2 linked regions of the Rattus norvegicus genome follow. The main gene of each other region encodes a partner of the protein of the gene in region 2 in a complex. Links are inferred from orthologs where the notes say so. Each region holds a gene or a part of one and is shown on either strand. Other genes may lie near its edges.

Region 1 (4,391 bases), on a different chromosome or scaffold from region 2:
ACTGGGCCAGAGAGGCAGCATGGTGCTTAAGAACACTTGCTGCTCTTTCAGAGGACCTAGGTCAGTTCCCAGCACTTACAGGTCAGCTCAAACCGCCCTGCAATTCCAATGGCTCCAGCACCCTCTGTTGGCCTCGAAGAATGCCAGGCACACATGTGGTGCACATACAAACATGCAGGCAACATGCTCATACATATAAAGTAGAAATAATTAGCTAAAGTAGAAAATTATGTACAAGACTTTAGAGCCTTTATAATTCTACGACACAAACAACTGTGTTTAGGACAAATCCAAAGGCCACATACAGCTACCAACAAACTGTTCCCCCAAAAAAATCAGCAACTCAGGGGAGATACAAGAAGCTGGCAGTCAGTAATCCCCAGTACAAACACTCATCAGCATAGTAACAGAAACCAGTAATTCCACAAGGGGCAGGAGATGGATTTCAGTCACCACACAGTTGTGAGCAGTCACAGCCTGAGAAGTAAAGAATCATAAATGACAATGAAACAGGTTGTGAAAATGGGACACACACACACACACACACACACACACACACACACACACACACGAACGAGGGGTGGGGAGGATATCAACAGTGTAGGACGAGTCCCACATTTATAAATGGCAGTAAAAACCACTGTTTTATTTGAGATCATAAATTCAGATACAGCCATAGCCAGTCCTTTTGGAGCCTTCTGAAAAGATTCTAACAGAGCAGAACCCTGCTGCTTCTAATGCCCATTACCAGCAAACCCATCTCTAGGAACTAAGACTAAGGACTAACACACAGGGTCAAAGCTGTAGTTCCACTAGTTCTGCATTTACTAATAGAAAAACCAACAACTTAATCTAAGTCCTGCTCAATTATGAGTTCAGATTCTACACATAATTTTGATATTAAAACTACAAGATGCCAACTAGATACGAAGTATTACTACAGAGCAGCTGACAGAACTTTTGCAAAAATCCTTATGATGTAAGCATCTGCATGTGCAGTTGTGTGTCCACGGGAAGACAAAAGAAGGACATGCCAGTCAGTGCCACAGCCCTCCACTGGACCCCAGCGACACTCCAGCTGCCACACTACCCTTCCCGTGTGGGCTGGCTCATCTGTCTGTACAGCAGCCCTAGCAGGCAAGAGCAATCCATCGACTTCTCTCATTTTAAAGATGTGGCACCTGAAGATTAAAGCAGCACCTTGCACGATGGAACAGAGCTGGCCTCTGTGACCCACGGCATGTGCCTCTCCTAACCGTCCCTATGGACTCAGGTATGAAGGTGGGCGTCTGGGAGTACAGCTTCCCTGAGCTTAGCATACTCAGCACGCCTGAGCTACATCCACTGAGAGCTGCCTGTGTTCCCACCGACACTGTCAAAACAACAGGCCAGCCAGCTCTGGAAAGAAAGACGCCTCTGACCATCAGTAAGAGAGAAACAAGCTACACTGCAAGAAATAGATGGCAGCAAGGACTTTCAAGCTTTAAAAATATTCAGTTTTCTTTGGGTCTTCTTATTCCTGAATTTGATCCTTATTTGGTGGGAATCAAATCAAAAGGAAATTTTAAAGTGTTGTTTAAAATGCAGATGACATTTTCTAGGCAGTTTTATATTAACCTAATGACAATGAAAAAAACACAGAATAAAATCAGTCATAAATGAAGAGCTTCACAATGTATACTGAAAGTACAATAGAAGACAGTTAGAGCCTCTGTTTTCACCCACCAGGTATCAATTAACTCCAGGCTTGATACTCTTGCAGAGGACCTGGTTCAGTTTTGGGCACCCACATGGTGGCTCACAACTGTCTTAATTCCGGTTTTAGGAGATCCAAGGCTCTCTTCTGGCCTTTTGGACATTGCACACACTTGGTGCACAGACAAACATGCAGGCAAAATACCCATAAACATAAAATAAATTTTACAAAAGTCACACCATTGCAAAGTTTGAAGCTACTATAAAAAGTATTCCCCTCACAAAATATATTATTTAAAAAAAAAAAAACTTACCTTTGGTTTTTTGATCAGCAGCCTGAAAAAAAAAAAAAAAAAAAAAAAAGAGAAACTTTTTAGAGACAATTGAATGCAATGTCCACACTGATGAAGGTTTATAGGCAGACTTTTAATTATTTTAGGGTTTTTTTCTTAGTTTCTTTGAGACATGGAGCCTTGACTGTCTTGCAATTTACTGCACAGACCAGGTTGGCCTCAGTCTTACAGAAATCTGCCTGCCTCTGTTTTCCTTTCATTTTAATTTGGGGGTCGGGGGGAGCAAGCAAGTGAGTGTGAGTGACTATTGGGACTAAAACTTTTAATTCTTAAAATTTTAAAAGCAAACCTTTTATTTAGCTAATTTACTACTGAGAAAAATCCTACTCTGACCACAGGACAGTGCTAAGTTAGTGACTGGCAAACATTGTAATGGACACTATCTGAACTCCCTGTGTGTCAGTCTAGAAGGATCCTTCCAATCTCACGGCTCAGTACAGAGATGAAAGCAAGGGTGGGTAGTATAATTTGGCTATTTTACATGCCACAAAATAAAAAATATGACTATAAGGTTTAAATTAGAGCTCTAAAAAACAGAATTTTTTTAAAAAGAAAATATTTCTAACTGTTGAGTCATCTCTCCAAACTGGTTTACAGAACTTATTTATTTATAAGGATTTATAAAGAATGTTTACTAAGACTGTAACAATTATTTCCAGCTTTTCTAATACTGTCAGTTTCCTGGTTCTCCCTGATGTCTCGATAGGCTGCTGTGGGTGGGCTGGGCTGGGCGGTCCATTCTCAGGAGGCAGCAAGAGCGTTCTTTACACAGAAGCTGCGCTGCCCTGGACACAGCTTCAGTACGCCTGACGCTGTAGAAAAGACCTTCTGTAACCGGCACTCTGTACTCGCCTCACTAGCCAAGTGTCTATATTTACTCATTCCAGACTCGGCATATTGACGTAAAACAGTACTAGAATCAACCTTGGACATGAGACAGCCATGTTGATGCAGACATGACATGGAGGACATGGAAGGAGTCCTAGCAAACCTTTTTCTGAGCACCTTCCTTCTTTTTCTTGTCTTCCTGCTTTTTCTTTTTCTTTTCTTCCATCAAACGTTCCTCTTCTTGTGTTTCCTGTTCTTTTACCCTATTAAATATTTAAGAAGCAGTGTTAGTATGATGACTACTTTAAAGCCAATGAAGAAGTAAAAAAGCAACCAGGAGTGAGGGCACAGGACTGTAATTCCAGCTGTCTGGGAGGCTGAGGCAGGAGAATCACAAGTTTAAGGCCAGAGTGGCCCACAGGCTAACCCCTAGACTAACCTGTATGTAGGAGGGTGCTGCCGCCATAGCTCAGGTGCTTGTAGCCTTGTACGTGAGGCCCTGGGTTTGAAACTCCACACTCAGGATACAGGGCAGGGATATTATTTGTGCACAAAGTCTTGATCTAGACAATGTCATCAACATGATAGAGCCACTTTGAGAGGAGTCAGAAATGGAGGTTCCCCTCCAGTATGACAGCTGCTGCCCTGCTTTTTTGTCAAGTGGCTTAGCTGTCTCGTTTGTTCTGCCCACAACTGTGGAGAAATCGACTAGTGCAGGGCTTTGTGTGGGGTCTACAGAGTAAGGACACTTAGTGCTGTCTCAGAGACTGCCATCACTGGGGCTCCCTATTAGAAATGATCTGTGATTTCTATCCAACTCATCCAACAGATCAGGCTCTGTGGAGGTGATTCCCATGTATGCTCTAACTTCATGTTTGTCTGACACGGATTATCTTTTTATACAGAGCCCTGTTCAGCTGGAGAGCTATTACAAGATATGCAACATGGAAGAACTCTGTTTTAAAAAGTGAAGACAGCTAACACCTAGGCTGTAGTGCTATAGCTAGCCCAAGTGGTGTGCATGCATCAGGGGTCACTATCTCTTTCCTGATGGCTCCATGCTCTCCCAGTAACACAGGCTCTGGCCCTTCTTTCAGTCAGCACCATGGGGAGTTGCAGGAGGAAGGACCCTCTTGACACCTGTTACCGTGGCACTGTGAGGTTAGTATGTGGGTTTGAAGCCCAGATGCTGGCTGGTTACAGGCCTAGGCTTAGCATGGGCAACCTTGGCTCTGGCAGCCTAGCATCCCATCCAATGGCACTCTTAGCACTGAACTAATTCCAGTCCCTACTACTAGCCACCTCCCAACTGTCTCTCATGGGACTCCTCCTCACACACACACCGGACTCCAGGTCTGCTGCACCAATAGTCCACACACACCTAGCCATCCATCAACACGCCCAGGGCTCCTTTCCAATAGGAGCACAAGCTGAGGGGCTACTGGCTGTGACTGGCTTGCATTCTGCATGTGCTCTAGTTGAAGAACAGGTAGTTAGCTTAAAGTGCTTCCTGGT
Region 2 (3,524 bases):
TGAGGAGACAAGGGAACAAGAGGTGGACTGGGGCAGGGTGGCCACTCACCTGACTGTGATGAAGCTGAGGTATGTAAGTCCCAGAGGGGGCCTGAATCTGGCACCGACAAGGACCGGCTCATTGTCGGGAGCAGGTTCTGGTCCCCACCTCTGAGAAACAAACCACTGGTCCTCAGGATACCGTTCTCTTGTGGCCTGCCCTCCTCTACCTCATACCAGCACACGCATTTACACTCTTACACACACCACTTCAGACACGGGCTGGGACTGTGACAGACCTGGGGGTTTTGAGAGCCTGGAGCTGCTGCAGGAACGTAGTGAGCTGCTGCTGCGGCGGCGTCAGGTCCCCCATAGCTGCCTTTTCCCGGAGTGTCGCACACTGCGGGAGCTGGCGGCTACAGACATACTGGGCTCAGACAGTGGACCCCACAGGGCCACTGCCTTGTCCACAGCAAGCCCCTGGCTCCCCATACCTGCCAACCAGCTGCAGAAAGTGCTGGTGCTGCAGCTGCTGGTACAGGGCTGCCGCAGCCAGCTCCTGCTGCTTCTTCAGCCGCTCCTGATCCATGTTCCCCTGTGGGAGGCCAGAGCATGCCTGTGAGGGAGCCCAGCAGGAGCATGCCCAGCAAGCAAGGTGGTGGGGAAGCCTGCGGTCCTGCTGCTGCCCCCACTGGCCTTCCCTGCAGCCTGCCAGGCAGACAGTGCTCACCAGCAGCGGGGGTGGCGAGGGCCCTGGGGCAAAGGGCACACGGCCCCACATCTTGATCACCTCTCCCAGAGGCTGGAAACCCTCATCGCAGCCCCTCTTCACTAAGAGGGACATGGAGAAGTAGCCAGCCTGGAACCACTCAGCCATCTCCTGGGTTGTGAAAGGGCCTGGAACAAGGGCGTCAAGAGGGTTAGGAGGTGGCCGCGGCATGGTCAGAGGGCACGCTGAGATCTGCCTGAGCACCAGAGAGTCCCAGCAGTCTGCTACCCGATGCTACCTTGGATCTCTCCCTGTGGGTCCTTGTAGAACCACTTTCGGGCAGCGCCATGGCTGAGGGGAAGGGCAGTGGCGGCTGTGGAGTGGCGTAGGCCCTGGGTCTGCATGGCAGCAGTGAACTGCTCCTCCTCCAGGGAGCTGTCCTGCAGGGAGGCCACCAGCTTCTCTGCCTCCTATAAGTCCAGGAAGAAAGGCAAGTCTGAGCCGCCTCAGGAGGCTGGGCTTGAGGGCAGGCCAGAAACCCTGTCAAAGAAATCTGGGACACATAAGACAAAGTGCTCTGCAACCCTGGAGGGGAGGCCCCGAGCATGCACAGGCACCCCCAAACCTGTTGCAAGTGCTTCAAGCCTTCTTCATCTTCTAGGTCTGCAGGCGGGCCTGCAGGAGGGGAACTGATTCTTGGACTTAGAGGCAGTCCCCTCATCTCGTCTCCTGGGAAGAAATGGGAAAGCAGGGAGGGGTGGAGAAGGGACAAGATGGCTCCTGTAGCTTCTAGGAAAACAGGCGGTTGCTACTACTGCCCTTCACCAGCCACGCCCTGTCACTCCCTTCTGCACAGCTCAGGCCAGCCTACCTTCAGCCGGGGGCAGCTCTTTCTCCACTGCCTCACCATCTTCATTCGCTGTCCAGAGAGGGCCCAAGGCAGGCAGTGAGGATGGGGAGCTCGACTTCTCTGAAGGAGGCAATGGGGTCACTTCCTTCCCTCCTGGAAGAAACAGATGATTACTAGAACGCAGATGCAAAAGAGCTGGGGCCACGGAGCTGGCTGGATGCATAAAAGTGCTTGCTTCCCAGGCATAAGGACCTTGGGTGAAATCCCAAGAACCCATATAAAAGCCCCATGTGCTAGCTACCATGTCTCTGTAATCCCAGTTCTCCTATGGAAACATGGAAGAGACGGAGATCTGCCACAAGTTTGTAAGCCTACTTCAGCAAAAAAACAAACAAACAAACAAAACAACAAACAGACAAAACCCCCCACAGACCCTACCTTAAACAAGGTGAAAGGCAAGGACCTATGCCCACGGTGTCCCCTGACCTGCCCACATACACAGGCAGAGTAAAACCGCAGGGGACACGAGTCAGCATGTGCATGGCTCCATGGCCTTGGACAGTAAGTCTATCCTTCTAACCCTGGTCAACACCCTAACTGAGCATGAGCACAGACTCGAGAACCACACACCCGCCTTCATTAAACACACTGACTCCCGGCTCTGCTGTGAGAGATGGGAGGAACCACATGTAAGGAGGGGCTCTGTGGGCACCTGACAAAGGTTGCTCTCCTACACCGGACCCTAAGACCCCCAACACCTCCCACCCCCGGCACACACAGCACATGTGACATGTGCTGCAGGTTAGAGGACAACTTGGTTCTTCTCCCTTATGATCATGTGGGTTCCAGGGATTGAACTCAGATCATGGCTTGGCGGCAAGCCCTTTTACATGCCAAGCTGTCTCACTGCTCCTGCCTTAACCCTTCTAAGTGGCCTGACCTTACAGACAGACAGGTGGGCAGTCAGTAGCCAGGTTGGTAACAGATCTCTCTGCCAACCTGCCCGAACCCAAGATTCTCAGAGCTCATTCCTGCAACGCTCTAAAGGCTCACCGGCCTCAGGCCCCTCTTCATCCACCCCATCTGATGGTTCCTCTTCCTCTTCCTCCAGGCCCTGGAAATCAAGCTCTTGCTCCTCTGGAATAGGTTCCTTGGGGCCCTTCTGTGTGGGAAAGGGCAGAGTGGACATAGTGGGAGGGTGGCTGGAGGACAGCTTCTGCCAACCCCAACTGGTCCAAGACAGTACCTTAAGAGGCAGGAAGGCTCCAGAAGCATCAAAAGTACCCATCTCCTCATCCTCATCATCCAGGCACCACTCTGGGAGCCCATCCTTGTCATCTTCAAAGCCATCCAGCCCCCGGCATCTTCGGAGGTGTGAGTTGCCTCCCCCAACTCGCCCATCTTCTTCACCACAACCTCCGCGTTCCCCTCGCAAATCAAAATCAAACTTGCGCCTCCGCTCTCCATGCTCCCGCCAGCCAGCAGAGCGGGGACCACCGTCTGAAAGAAAGTTAGAAAAGGGGGGAAAAGCTCCAGTGTTCAGCCATATCAAGACCCACCTTCTCTGGCTCACCAGGCCTTCCCAACTAGCATGGCTTCCTCTGGAATTTTCTCATTCCTCCCGTGCAGGGCCACCTCTTCCCCAGTATCACCAAGATATCCTGAACCCCACCTTGCTCCCATCTTACCAGGACTGGTGGAACGCCAGCGATCACCATCTCGCCGGGGTCCTGCCCCAAGTCTCCAGCTGCTATCATCCTCTTGCTCCTCTCGAAGTGAGCGCCAATTCTCACTGTCTGAGCGCGCATGCTCCTTCCTCGGGCCAGCCCCTCCCTCCTCAAAGCCAGATCGTACTGGCACAGGGGAGACAAACAGTAAATACGGAAGAGCCTCAAGATAGCTTACTCCAGTCTCTCTCCCACACTCTACCTGGGAACCCCATCTCGGCTGCCTCCCTACCCTACTGGCCACCACATCCAGTACTCT

The links.
Region 1: the proteins of Gigyf1 (region 2) and Tnrc6c are in contact, whole or in part, in a crystal structure (PDB 7RUQ), measured with the Homo sapiens proteins. The link is inferred for Rattus norvegicus from reciprocal best matches to the Homo sapiens genes GIGYF1 and TNRC6C. Residues at the interface, in NP_001362694.1 of Homo sapiens: Tyr479, Asp481, Pro482, Gln487, Phe490, Trp498, Tyr503, Phe504, Leu508; in NP_001136112.2 of Homo sapiens: Arg1719, Pro1720, Pro1721, Pro1722, Gly1723, Leu1724, Thr1725.

Annotation. Positions count from the first base shown.
Region 1 is NC_086028.1:103,411,032-103,415,422, reverse strand, and holds the start of Tnrc6c (trinucleotide repeat containing adaptor 6C), read right to left. Parts: upstream 3,103-4,391; coding exon 3,040-3,102; intron 2,032-3,039; coding exon 2,010-2,031; intron 1-2,009. UniProt on the Homo sapiens protein: Plays a role in RNA-mediated gene silencing by micro-RNAs (miRNAs). Required for miRNA-dependent translational repression of complementary mRNAs by argonaute family proteins.
Region 2 is NC_086030.1:24,805,372-24,808,895, forward strand, and holds part of Gigyf1 (GRB10-interacting GYF protein 1), read right to left. Parts: intron 3,394-3,524; coding exon of another isoform or gene 3,392-3,393; coding exon 3,227-3,391; intron 3,039-3,226; coding exon 2,785-3,038; intron 2,701-2,784; coding exon 2,592-2,700; intron 1,692-2,591; coding exon 1,560-1,691; intron 1,418-1,559; coding exon 1,314-1,417; intron 1,159-1,313; coding exon 987-1,158; intron 877-986; coding exon 710-876; intron 575-709; coding exon 474-574; intron 396-473; coding exon 279-395; intron 151-278; coding exon 50-150; intron 1-49. UniProt on the Homo sapiens protein: May act cooperatively with GRB10 to regulate tyrosine kinase receptor signaling. May increase IGF1 receptor phosphorylation under IGF1 stimulation as well as phosphorylation of IRS1 and SHC1.